2 linked regions of the Tamandua tetradactyla genome follow. The protein of the gene in region 2 purifies or fractionates together with the protein of the main gene of each other region. This does not show direct contact. Links are inferred from orthologs where the notes say so. Each region holds a gene or a part of one and is shown on either strand. Other genes may lie near its edges.

Region 1 (7,089 bases), on a different chromosome or scaffold from region 2:
GGCTGGAAGTAGCAAAGACTGGGCTTCTTTAGGCTCAGGATCTCCAGCCTGTCCTAGGACTGAGCAAATTATTTCCCCACCTTTCAGCTTATTGCTCTCCCATGCCTTTCCTGTGAACTTCCACCCTGTTCACTCTTGACAAAATGAGAGCCCCTTTCTGCCCTACCAATTATCTGTTCACAGGTAATACCATTTCCCCAACTGGTGACTAATTACTATTTCTGCCTTTCCCAAATAAACTTATTTATTGATATAATTATAATAATTATTACATAATTATACATATAATGTGTATATATATATATTTATTTTTATTTTATTTTTATTCACAATCCATCCCCACCCACCAGATCTTAATGCTTTCTGACGACAGGAGATCTCTTTCTCTTGTGCCCACCTCTTCACAAACATTCCTGGATTTCAGAGTCAAGTTACCTATGCCAAGCAGCCAATGAGCCTGCAGTAAAAATCCTAAGCATAGCACATCTCTGAGCTAGAACAGCCAGCTGCTATACTGATTTTTGGAACCTTGAGTCCAATTTAGAACTCATTCAATAGCAAGTTCCATTTGTACAGGACTTTCTAGTTTATAAAAAGCTTTCACATAATGACCTCATTTTGATTTCTGAGTCTCACAACTCTCTGGAGTGAAGTAACCATCTGCAATTATTCCTATTTCATATTTATATAGGACTTCTGGAGGTTACCTTTACCCAAGGTAAAGCTCTGATCCAGGATGCAAACAAGGCTCTTTCTATTGTTCTGTCAGTCTATTAAAAGGGAGAGAATGCTTACTGGCATTTTCCAGGATTCCCAGTTAAAAAGAATGTTTATTATTGAGAGTTCACTGTGCTGACGCCATGCTAGGTGCTATGCTTTGCCGACTCTCAGGATAAAGTCCAAAATCTTTACACAGCTCTATCTTTCTAGCCAGGCAGGCTTCCTTTCCATTTCCATGACCTGTTAAGCTCCTTCCTGCCTGAAAACCTTTGTACCAGCAACTCCCTTTTTTGTCTGGAGTATCATTCTCTTGGCTGACTCCTATTTATTCTTCAAGTCTCAGCTTAAATACCACTTTTTTGGAAAGCCTTTACTGACATTTCCACTACACTCCTCATCCTCCAAAACTGGGTTACATCATTTACCCCATTATCATACCCTGCGTTTCTCTTCTGTTAGTTATCACAATGTAATTATGTCCCATGTGTGCATAAATGTGTACTTACTCTGCCACCCCAGCTAGCCCATAAGATACATGAGAGCAGAGACCATCAGCATCCCTGTCACCTAGCATAGTACCTGGTATGTAGTAAACACTCAAATTATCTGTGGACTATATGAGTATATAACATGATGGTTAAAGAGTTCAGGCTTTGGACTCAGGGAGACCTGACTTGACTAATAGCTGACCCAGTGACCTTGACCAAGGTACTTAAGCTCTTTGAGTCTCAGGTCGTCGTACATTTGTAAAACAGAGATAAATCTCTCTCTCTTACTGACTGTGATTAACTGAAAAATGCAGAGAAAACAGTTAGAACAATCCTTGGCATACGGAGAGCCTACAATAAAGATTCATCCCTTCAACTTTATGCTAGTCATATAGTAAAAAATAAGCTATATCAAACACAGCATTAATGATTTTCCAAAAAGCATTGGGATAAAATTTAAACTCCTTCCAAAAGTCTCTATAACATCTTCTGATGCCAATGCCACTTCCTCTCTTAACCAAAATGCCCTAGCCAAACCACTTTTCCAGTTCCTAAATACTGCCACCTTTCTTTCCTCAGGGACGTTGCACATGCTGTTCCCTTTCTTTCAACTGCTCTTTACTAGGTTGGTTCTGTCACACCTTCCAGGTCACAGCTTTAATGTCACCCACTCAGAGGGGTTTTCTCTGTCTACCCTCATTCATGCTCTTCTTAGCACTTACTAAAATTTGTGGTTGTTTGCTTAACCATTTACACCTTGTCTTTCTCATTCGTCAGTAAGCCTCATGAGGACAAAACTGCTCATTGTTATATCTCCAGTTGGTGCCTAGCACAGCACTGATACACAGAAGACACTCAATAATTATGCAATGAATGAATAACAGCTGTAATTATTAAATTATTAAACGTAAGACGGCTAACTACTTAAGTCAGACAGTGTTTCACTCTTATGTGAACTGAACATTATGTCTTTGAACATTATGAGGCAAAACACAGGTACCCCGTCTTTCCTCACATACTCCTCTGCCCAAGAGAAGAGCATTTTAGGTGACGGCCAGGGCAAGGGCAGAACTTACCAGTCAGGGAACGTCTCCCTAGAGGGCAGTTCCCCTGTTGAGAAAGAAGACATTATCGACGTCACCCAAGATGAAAGGAGGGAAGAAACAGCTTTTTCTTTTAAAGATAAACTCAAAAGCTGTCTCAGTGCTGGTGACAGGTGAATCTCGTGACTCCAAATGCAACATCCAGGGCTCACGATCCCAACCTGCACACTGGGCCTGTCAAACTATGTCAACTTCCCAATGGGGCTGACACCCCCTGATTTTAACAGATGAGAAGAGACAAATCGCCGAATCACACCGGGAAGCATCCGCGCCTCCTCCCGAACTCTGAGTCCCGTGTCAGGGCGGGCGCAGTTCCGGGCGGCTCACGAGCCCGAGATCTGAGGGTAGGGTGCGGCAGGAGATGGTTGGCGAGGGCTGCCTCAGAAAGAGAGGGGCCTCTGGGCTCTGCTCGGTTAGGCAGTGCCGAGGGCGACGGCGACCCTGGGCCATCTAGCCCGCGGCCTCCGCGTCCCAGTGCCCTTGGGTGGCCGGCCTGGGTGGCGAGCGCGCCTCTGGGAGGGCCGGCCGGCCGGCTGCCTGCCCACAGGCTCCTCACCGCTGTGACCCCGGCCCGGCCGGACCGTACCTTCTGGAAGGCGGAGAGGGAGCGACTGAACGCCCGGGACACGCAGCGGGACCGGGACAACATCACGAACACAGGAAAGCTGAGAGCGGGCGGACAGCGGATATAGGGCCCGGCGGCAACCGGAAGTGGGGCGGGTCGCGGCACCCGCCGCGCAGCGAGGGGTGTTCGGAGCAAACCACTGGCAGCGGGCGAATGGGTGGCACAGAACAGCCCGGGTCCCAGCCCGGGAGTCAAGCGCCCGCGGGCAGACGTCAGTGACGTGCTCTCGGAGCCTGTCGTGCAGAGCTGGATGCTGCGGGCCGCGCTCTCCTCACCTGGGACCCTAGGGCCCCGCACTGTTCTTCTTCAGGGGAAAGAAGCGAAAGGCGAGCACTGGTTTTGAACGCCCACCTTTGCGGACATACCTGCCTGGTCTTAGACTTTTTGTCCCTAGGTTTCTTAACTGTTAAAAGGGCATTTGCCACTTCCCTGCCTTCCTAACCCCGAAACAAAGAAAAAGAACCCCCAAGAAACATCTCAAGGATTCCCATTACCCTCTTGCCAAGCCGAAGACCTTCACCGACTTGTCTTACTTTTGCAACACCATCTCCAGATCTATCCCTGTCCCTGCCCAAATTCTCTTTAACCAAACAACTGATTTTCCTGGGTATCTGGGCGGGGGTTGTTCGTTTGTCAGCCCATTCTTAGAATATAAACTTCATGAGATTAGGGATCCGGTCTGTCTTGTTTACTGTCGTATCCCCAGCACTAGAACAGAGATTGGCATAGGTAGGCAGGGTGCACAGTGAATATTTGCGGCTGTATTTGGGCCTCTTAGCTTTCTTGAGGCATAACATTTTATCCATTACCTTATAAATAAAAGGACATGACCTTGTGTCCCATCATGCACGTTAATCCACACCCTTTGGAGACCTATCACCATGAAGGCAGAAACAGCAGCTGCAATCCCCTTATTCATTTCCTCAAGGCTGGAAGGTACAATACCTAGTGAGTAGTGGTTCAGACCACATATGTGAATACTGGGGAATTTGAGGACAGGGAGAAGAAGCCTGTATTGTTAAAGGTGAGCTGCCCACTCTGCCATTTTTCATTAGCTGAGCCACTTTTCCTTTCTAAAAACAGAAAAAAAAAAATTCTTGTATAATATGAAAGTAAATGCATCCTTTTATCAATTTAAAAAATAGGCAAAATTTGTATGTAGTTTAGGGCATGTAGATGTTGGAGCTATAAAAAAAAAAGCAAGGAGATGGCCAGTATATAACTCAGGACAGTGGTGGTTAACTCTGGGGAGAATGATCAAGAAGGGCCACCAAGGGTTTTTTCATTCCATAGTGTGGGTGGTGGGTATGAATATTCCTCTTATTAGTCTTCTTAAAACTGTACACATATATTTACAAACCTTTTTGAATATATATTTCACAATGGAACACATGTTTATGAATTGAAAAAGTTAAGTTGATAAATTGATGAGTTGAGCTGAAGTTCATTGATTTTTCATTGCCCTATTTCAGAACATTTATTCTACTTCCCTACTTTGTGAACTGATGGAGGAGAATGGCAAAATTCAGGTGATGTTCAGGGGTAGGTAAATTTGGCCAGTGAGTCCTCCTCAGCTCTGCTAGGGCTGGGAACTTTTGGTCCAGCAACCAGCCTCCCCAACAGTGTTTTGGATCTAGCTGGAGGGAGAGGCCACGCAACCTTCCTTTAGAGCAGAGATGTCATATTTTGGAGCTGGGTAGGTGCTATAACCTTAGGATGTTTGAGGAGCAGGAGAAGGATGTTCACTTTGGAACTGCCTTGCTGGGGAATTTGGAAGCAGAGGTTAGGGGCTCCCCACTAGAGTCCAAAGTGATGGAAGAAGCTGGATAATTCAGTCCACATATTTCTCTAAGGGCTCTCTGATTCCTTTGGCAAGGAGAAAAGAGGTGGCATTTCAGGAAGGTTCTCTCTGAGCTGTCTTTCTGGGCACCTGAGTTGGGGTGGAAGTGGGAAGTGGCAGGAGGGTAGCCAACCGGCTCTGGCCTTATCTGCATATTCATAAGCCCCCCCACACCGGTTGGCTGCTCTGGGTAGCCCCCACTGTCCCCAGTGCCAGCAGTTGCAGCAGCGCTGGGCTGGGTCTGTCAGATGGTGCCTTACACTGACTGAGAAGGGTGGGCAGTGGGAGGGTGAATCCCCTCACCCAGTCACGGCTGGAGACCTGCCTGGGGAGGAAGGAGAGGAAACCAAAAACACTTCCTGACCATGGCTGTGTCTGCCCAAGGCAGGTGAAGAGAGGGCTGCTCCATCTCCTCGGGATGGCGGGCCCTGCTTGGCTGTAGACCCTGGACCTGGACCTCTCTGCAGACCTCGTTCCTGTGAGTAACCCCATCCCATCCCTTCCATTTCCATTGCCAGAGTGCTTTTTACAGTTAAGGAATGTTCATTATTAACGTTTTCCAGCATACTGAAATGCAGATAAACTATCATAAGGAATACCCACCCATGAATACCCATCACCTAGATTTAACAGTTGTTGATATGTTGCCATATTTTCTTCATCTATTTTTGTGGGCTAAAATACTGTCAAGTAAACTGTAAACATCAAGATATTTCACTCCATAATACCCTGGCATGCAACTCTGGAACACTTTTTTTTTTTTATTTTTTTTTATTTTTACTTTTTTTTTTTTTTATTAATTAAAAAAATTAACTAACACAACAATAGAAATCAATCCATTCTACATATGCAATCAGTAATTCTTAATATCATCACATAGGTGTATGGTCATCATTTCTCAGTACATATGCATCGATTTAGAGAAAGAAATAGCACTACAACAGAAAAAGAAATAAAGTGATAACACAGAGAGAAAACACAAATAAAAATAAAAAGTACAAAAATATATAAGAGAAAACAAACAAACAAACAAAAAAAACTATAGATCAGATGCAGCTTCATTCAGCACAACTCTGGAACACTTTTGAAGCTCTCCTTTTGAAAGTGACTGGTTCTCTTGTGTCTGATGCTCTTTTTATCTACATATGGACAGATGAGTAAAACATATGGACTAAAAATAAATAAATAATAGGGGGAACAAATGTTAAAATAAATTTAGTAGATTGAAATGCTAGTGATCAATGGAAGGGAGTGATAAAGGGTATAGAAAAAAATAAGGGAAACAAAGCCTAAAATATATTGGGTAGATGGAAATACTAGCAATCAATGAGAGGGAGGGGTAAGGAGTATGGTATGTATGAGTTTTTTCTTTTTTCCTTTTATTTCTTTTTCTGAATTAATGCAAATGTTTTAAGAAATGATCATGGTGATGAATATACAACTATGTGATGATATGGTGAATTATTGATTATATACCAAGAATGGAATGATCATATGGTAAGAATGTTCATGTTTGTATGTTGTTATGTTTGAAAAAAAAAAAAAAGGCTGGTTCTCATACCTGTCATGGGCATCCCCGGGGAAAAAGGCACAAAGAAGCTTGAGTGTGGCCTGAGGGCAAATGGCTGGGAGTAGAGGCCAGACCTCTTAACTCCCAGCCCGGGATGCTGTACAGTCACTGGAAGGATCTCTGACAGCTAGGGGTGTTTCTCCTGTGATCTTGGGCATGGCCCTTCACCTCTCTGGGTTTGTTTCCCCATCATAAAGCAAGGACATGGTAAGAAGAGCAGTAGTTCCCTAACACCGGTCCAGGGAAGTTTTCAGAAAATGACTAGGTAAAGACTTTTTTTTGCTTGTTTGTTTTTTAAAACTTTCTTTATTGTTAAATATAACATGTATGCAAAGAAAAGAAAAAAAGCAATGATTTTCAAAGTACACTTCAATAAGTAGATACAGAACAGATTTTAGAATTTGTTATGGGTTACCATTTCACTATTTCAGAATTTCCCTCCTAGCTCCTGTAAAACACTGGACACTGGAAGAAATATGTATTTTTCTTTTTTGTGAATAAGAACATGTATACTAAAAAGCAATAAATTTCAAAGTACATTGCAACAATGAGTTGTAGAACAGATTTAAGAATTTTGGTATGGGTAACAATTCCACTGTTTTAGGTTTTTACTACTAGCTGCTCTAAAGTACTGGAGACCAAAGGAAGTATTAATATAATGATTCAGCACTCATACTCATTTGTTAAACCCTACCTTCTCTGTATAACTACACCATCCTTTGAGCTTTCTCCCACTCTTTAGG
Region 2 (7,023 bases):
GAGGGAGGAGGGCGCGACACGGAGGGCCGGACGCGAAAGGGAGAAGGCCCTCTCCTCCCTCACGCCCGCCTGACCGATGACCATGGTTTCGTCAGGGATCTCCTCGATGAAACAGCGCTTCTCGGTCTCGCCGATGTGGAAGTACAGCCCCCGAACACCCGCCACGCAGAGCGCGACCAACACCAGCGCCAACAGCCGCATCGCGGGTCGCCGCGGGACCTCAACACCTGCCATAGCGCGCGCCTCTCGCCCAGCGCGCCTGCGCGCCGCTTCGGGACAACGCGGCACTGCTACACGCATGCGCGGGGGTGCGCGCACGCGCAGACACAGCGCCCGTCCCAGAGCGTGGGTGGGGTGGTGCCTCTTTTCTCAACTGAGGGTTCTAAGGGGCCAGGTCTGGGTCTTGTGGCACTGAAGCCCTGGCGGTCCCGGAAGCCCGGCATTCGTCTTCCTTGCAAACCGGTGCCCTCCGACTTCCCTCGCCCCCTTTAGCATTTCGTTTGTACGGTGGCACCGAGGATGCGTCCTTGACTTTCTGGGGCACAAGCTAAGAGTAAATCTAGCAAATGTTTACTGGGTGGTGACTACGTTCTAATCTCATTGCCAGAGGCTGGCAGTACACTGGTGAATAAAATCTAGAACCCCAGCTCTACCTGCCACTCCGAAACGAGGGTCGGTTAGGGGAACTGATAAGAAACAAATGCGTAATGACAGATCCTAAAACTTTCCCGTTAGAAAACAATCCGCGTCGAGAAAACACAACGGCGGAGGAGGAAGTGGACAGGATTGGGAGGGCGGGGGCAGGAAGAGAGAGGCCAGATGAAGGGGGTGCAGCGGTGTAACTACTCAAAGTACAGCAGGGAAGCTGCTGAAAGGGTTTAAACACCTGCGGTGTGATCTATCAGACTTAAAAAAAAAAACAGTGACTGAAATCACCGCTTTGCAAGCCCTACTGGAATAACGGATCTAGATAAACATTATCTGAGAGGATTGGCCAGTGGACCCCTGAACTCATTGAGGACTTTGAATATTCCTGAGAGGGACAACCAGACACATGTGCCTCTTGAAGCGATGTGCCACCTATACAATATTCTTGTTCCTTCTCCCTGCAAGAGCTTAAAACTAGTCAAGCCTCTTGGTTTCACTACTAGCTTATGGGAAATACAGGAGTTAAAGGAGCATCTCAGATGTCACCATGAGGATAAAATCAACCAAATCCAGACTGGGAAACTGTGCAGACAAGGAAATAAACAACAAAAATGGCATTAAAAGTGGGGGAGGAAGAAACATTATGACTTAAAAGAGACTTGGGTGCACGGGTGGTTCAGTGGTTGAATGCTCGCCTTTCATGCGGGAGACCTGGGTTCGATTGCCGGACCCTGCACCCCGCCCCCACCCAAAAAAAAGAGACTTAAGAGCAGAACAACCAAATAGAATGTGTGGGCCTTGTTTGGATTGTGATTCAAACCAACCAACAAGAAAAGGATGTATCTGAGACAATGAGTGCTCTAATGTGAACTTGGGTGTTATGAGACATTAAGGAATTATTGTCGATTTTGTTGTTTTGTTGCATATCATTATTGTACTGTGGATTGTTTAAGTCCTCATCTGTTAGAGGTACATACTGTAGTATTTACAGGTAAAAATAAATACTCTGGGTAGTTCAGTGGTAGAATGCTCGCCTTACATGTGGGAGACCCGAGTTCAATTCCCAGACAATACACACACACACATCCCCCAAAATAATAACTAATAAAAAAAATACTCTGGCTGTACTGTGGAGAATGGACTACAAATGGACCAGAGTAACAGGGAAGCTTGTCAGGAGGTGACTTTGATGCTTCAAATAAGAGATGTTGATGGCAATGGGGATGAGAGAAGGAAGGGGCTGGAATATTCAGCAAATAGAGACAGCAACCTCAATGTCAAATTTTCCCTACACTTGTTCTTCAAAGTTGAAACTTGGAGTCTTTTTCATTTTTTGATATCCATCCCCTGTTTTCCCACCAGAGTAGTCGCAACTTATCAGGCAGCTCACTGTCCTCTAGGTCAAGATTTGGAAAACATAATCACCACATTCATGCACTCACACTCTTTGTCTTATAGCTGGGATGCCTGCGTCTTCATTACTGCCTGGAAGTTATCTGCCAGTACAACAAAGACATTCCTTGGAAGGAAACCAGGCTAAGAGGTGTGTGATGCAGAGCTCATCCCTGCCCACCTCCTCAGGCAACCCTTCCAGTAACTCTCTGGAAGCATGCCAAGCTTTGGTTGCTGTTATCTTGAACACTGCCCACCTTGAGTGCATCTTGTTTTGAGAAAAAAGCACATACCAAGATGTTTGTCCAAGATTTGCACACCAACCCTGGCATTTAGCCACTTTTGTTTCCCCAAGCATCTGTGGAGTGGTTGCCATAGATGCAGAACATACTCAAGTGAACTTCGTGCAAAGTACCTGCAGCTTTCTGTAAGTTCCCCTAATAAATGCTTAAGGACTGATTACCCCATGTTTAATGGTTCCTTCTTCAGAAGGGCAACCAGTGCCATTGTGGGGTGTTTTGGGGTAAGTCCAGCTGGGTCTTCCCCTATTTCTTTTTTTGGGGTGAATCCTGCTGCAGCTTTGTCAGGATGCAAAAAAATGGCTATGATGGGACCTTGGGAAGTGTATGTGGGGTACCTGGCACTTGCCTTTGTGTACTCTCCTTGCAAAATACAATCAAAATTAAAACCCTGGGCGGGCCACGTGGCTTAGCAGGCAGAGTTCTCGCCTGCCGTGCAGGAGACCCGGGTTCGATTCCTGGTGCCTGCTCATGATATATGTATGTATTTTTACATATATATATATATATGCTGCTACCTGTTTATCCTGTAAGTATTGGGATTGAACCATGATAAACAACCTTGTGACATTTAAAGAAATAAGTTCGTCAAGATAAGCCTTCCTGGGGGATGGCAGTTCTTTGGTATGGAATGTAAGCCCAGTGCTGCTAGACTTTCTTTTCTTTTTGTTTTTCTAAAAAGGTAGAAATTTGGGTGTCTTTGATTTTAAAACCTTAGCCTTTAGCTCAACTTTTGTCTCACACAACAGACAACAAAGCACAATCTCTAGCCACATTTAGCAGTCAAGCTGCCAGTTCCTGATTTCCCTACAAATCCAGTGGCAGACACTCTTCGGCTTTCATTTATTTAACCTCTCTGTTCACTATTGCCCACTCCTTCCTTCTCCTAATAGTTTGTCTTGTTCTCCTTCCTTCATTCTTTGAACAACTGGCAGAAAATGGGACTGAATATCTCGACTAAGATAATTATGGAAAAGAGAGATAAGAGGACAACTAGGAACGAGTGGTGTCATGGAGTATGTCTACACCCCTAGCCAGAACACACCCTTTGTGCAGTATAAAGGAAAATGAAAACTTAACTAGAAACTTACTTGGTTACTTATTGCGCATGGAATCAGAGCAAAAGAAGGTAGAAAGTTTGTTTATAATTAAGGGGATTTCCAGACAAAAAAAGAGGGAATGCTGTAAAGAATTTTCATATACTCACCAACTAGCTTCAATAAAGTTTTGCCATTCTTGTTTCATCTATCCTTCTAACTTTTCTCTGAAGTATTATCAAGAAAATCCCAGACATCATTTCATTTCACCTATAAACGCTTGTGTACCTTTCTAACAGATAAGGAGTTCTAAAAAGGACATTATAACACTCAAAATTTTAAAATAATTTTTTGATACCATCTAATGCTTAGTATGCAGAGTTCAATTTCCCCCCATCATTTCAAAAAACTTTGTTAGATTTGACCCACCGAACGCGTACGGAAGGGGCGGCGTGGCTCACCGGGAACCACCTGGGCTCTGCAGGCGACCACCGAGCCCACCCGGGACCGTTGTGACAATGCGGCCACGGGCCACCGGCCGCCATCCCAGCCACGCCCTCTAAACCAGGTGCCGGTTAGAGTACCGGTGCAGGGCGCGGGCGGGGCGGGCGTACTCCACTCCCTCGGGGCGGGCGACGTGCTGACGAAGCACGCAGGGGGCGGGACCAAGAGTTTGGTGCTACCGGAGTACGGTGTCGGCGCCTCATTCGGGCGGAGCCTCGGCGGGAGACAGGTAGCTGCGGCTAGGCCCGGGCGCGGGTGCGGGGAGGCCTCTGCGCGTGCGGCCAGTGAGGCGGAGGTCACGGCCAGGGGGCGAGGCCGCTGCGCCGTAGTTCGCTGCTACTGCCGCGGTGACAGTGGAGTGAGGCGGGGATGGAGCGGAGGTGACGGAGGGGGGTGGGCGGGAACTGGGGGGGATTCCTGAGGGACTGGAGTTGCAGCCAATAGGGCGGCGGTGGTCGCCTGGCGGGCTGAGAGTGACAGGTGCGAAGGGCTCGCTCGGGGCGCGGAGGGGCTCGGAATTGGCTGTCGGCTCGATGGGGGCGGGGCCTCCGCGGCGGGCGGATGTGAGGGAATGGGCTGCAGCCGCTTCCAGGGTGACCCACAAGGTCGCGAGCAGGCGTCACGTGGGAGGGGTCGTCCCGGGCAGGGTCGCGCCCCTCCAGGCTGCCTTGGGCTCCGCTGGGGGTTCTGCAGTCTCTCCGAGGAGCGAGCTTTCTCCCGGCTCGTCGGCCAGTGCCTCGGCCCCTCCGAGGGCGCTGTCCCCGGGTCTTCCCAGGCATGCGGGCGGATTGTCTCGGGCCGGGATCCCTTGGGCACGCGTCGCACACGCTCATTAGAGGAATGTGAGCCGCAGGCGGGCACTGCGCCCTCCAGGAAGCTCACTTCTCCTGCCCTCTGCATCTCCCCCTTTTGTCCTCTAATCCGTTAGTTTTCCTGTGTAGGGCGGGAGCAGGTGTGTGGAGACCTGGGGCTCCACAATTCCGCTCTTGATTTTCGAACTGTACGCGCTCATCTCTGTGTCCTTCTGAGGTGTCCCCCCGCCCCCCACCAATACCTGGGCATTGAATGGCCTTTTTATGTAATTGTTGCCTCTTCTGGCTTGTGTCCCCCCACCATTGTTATATCAGAACACACGTAGAATATTATTAGGTTGGCTGCATTTCTTGGACTAGGAATTCTTGGCTGTCCCTTCTGCAGCTTCACTCGGTAATGACATTGGATAAGTCGATTTATCTCTCTATGGAGTAATCTCGCAACCGTAATTACACCTTTTTGGAAATTTTATGGGACATTTTGATTGAACTGAAGGTCAATTCCTATGGGAACACAATTCCCTTTTTATTTTCCCCTTTTGAAAAGGCATTTTAATATACACGGAAGTTGTTGCATAGGGAGATTTAATAAACTTGTGGCAACACCATCACAGGATAGCCGTGGCATTTATTCTTGGTAAACAAGAACTTCGTGACTGACCCTCATGTATCCCCCACCAGCTCTTCTACTCCTTTGTTCAGAACAGAGATCACTCACCAGCGGTCCAAAGTGTGAACTCCGAATTACGTTTCTTTGTGCCTTGTTTTCAGTTCTTTGCTTTGAAGCAGGTGCTGGTGTCTGATTTCCAGGTACACTGCTCCAAGCAGTTTTTAAGATGAATGGTTTGGGGTTGAAGCCTTTTTGCACTCCAGCACTAGGTGCAACAGTCAAGCCACCGTTTTTGCTATGTAGATCCATTCCATATGAAAATACTTAACACTCCTCCAGCTTTGGAAATTAGTTGAGTACTGAATTTTGGATAGTGGGAGAAAGATCAGTGTATCACTCATTTATTATTACTTTTTTCTTTTTAATTTTATTGTGGTTTTATATACATGAATATATATGTATATAATTGGCTGTTTTAACCATTTTTAAGTGTACGAGTCAGCAGTATTAATTACATTGTCAGTGTTGTGTTATCACCACCATCCATTACCAGAGCTTTGCTAGCACTTTCCACATTTCAGTTGCCTTTTAGAAAATAACAGCTTCATTGAAATATGATTCACATCGTATACAATTCACCCATTTAAGTGTACAATTCAGTGATTATAGTTTATTCAGAGTTATGCAGCCATTACCAGAATTCAGTTACTTTTAAAGACTAACTAGAATTTCAGAAACATGCCAATCTTGGTTTTGTTTAATTGCAGAATTTATGAAATACCAAATATTTCCCGTATTTACTATATGCTTTTAACCTATCTCATGCCTCACCACCCTCATTTTTTAAAAAAATAACCTCTATTTTTAAAATTTTGAGCTGGTTTTCATTTTGAGATACTTGTAGATTCATGTGCAGTTAAAAGAAATAATAGAGTTGTCCTCTTTATTCAGATTTTCCCTATGGTAACATTTTGCAAAATTACAGTACAATAGCACAACTAGGATATTGACTAATAAATGTTAAAATACAGAACACTTTAATTACCACAAATACACCTCTTGTTCCCTTTTTTATAGCCACACCCTTTTTCCTCCCATTCCCACTCTCTGCTTAACCCCTGGCGAACCACTTTGTTCACCATTTCTGTGCTTTTGTCATTTCATCTTCTTTATATAAATGGAATCATACAATATGTAGCCTTCTGAGATTAGCTTTTTCACTAGCATAATCCTCTGGGAGATTCATCCAGGTTGCTGTGTGTAGCATTAGTAAGTCCCTTTTTATTGCTGAGTAGCATTTAATGGTATGATGCACCAGTATGTTTAGCTATTCCCCATTGTCAGGGTTTTTTCCAGACTGGGATATTATTACAAAGAACGTTGCTATTAACATTTGTGTAACAGTTTTTGTGTGAACATAAGTTTTTATTTCTCTAGGATATATGCCTAGGCATGCAATTGCTAGGTCATATGAGTTCCATGTTTAGTTTTTTTAGGAAATTGCCAAATTGTTTTCCAGAGTGGCTGTACCATTTTACAGTTCTCCTAGCAGTGCATGAGTGAACTAGTTTATCCACATCTTTGCCAGCATTTGGTGATGTCACTATTTTTTATTTTATCCTTTCTAATAGATGTGTAGTAGTAGCTCATTCTGGTTTTAATTTGTAATTCCCTAATAGCTAGTGGTATTGAACTTTTTTTGTGCACTTATTTGCCATATG

Evidence for each region. Proteins that work in one complex are often made in the same cells at the same time.
Region 1: the proteins of OGDH (region 2) and DLST fractionate together in Homo sapiens (co-fractionation; 3 studies listed by BioGRID). This does not show direct contact. The link is inferred for Tamandua tetradactyla from reciprocal best matches to the Homo sapiens genes OGDH and DLST.

What each region holds. Positions count from the first base shown.
Region 1 is NC_135338.1:33,947,586-33,954,674, reverse strand, and holds the start of DLST (dihydrolipoyllysine-residue succinyltransferase component of 2-oxoglutarate dehydrogenase complex, mitochondrial), read right to left. Parts: upstream 3,030-7,089; 5' UTR 2,961-3,029; coding exon 2,898-2,960; intron 2,319-2,897; coding exon 2,285-2,318; intron 1-2,284. UniProt on the Homo sapiens protein: Dihydrolipoamide succinyltransferase (E2) component of the 2-oxoglutarate dehydrogenase complex. The 2-oxoglutarate dehydrogenase complex catalyzes the overall conversion of 2-oxoglutarate to succinyl-CoA and CO(2).
Region 2 is NC_135327.1:66,020,713-66,027,735, forward strand, and holds the start of OGDH (2-oxoglutarate dehydrogenase complex component E1), read left to right. Parts: upstream 1-3,988; 5' UTR 3,989-4,109; intron 4,110-7,023. Other genes in the region: TMED4 (transmembrane emp24 domain-containing protein 4), read right to left, coding at 75-300. UniProt on the Homo sapiens protein: 2-oxoglutarate dehydrogenase (E1o) component of the 2-oxoglutarate dehydrogenase complex (OGDHC). Participates in the first step, rate limiting for the overall conversion of 2-oxoglutarate to succinyl-CoA and CO(2) catalyzed by the whole OGDHC.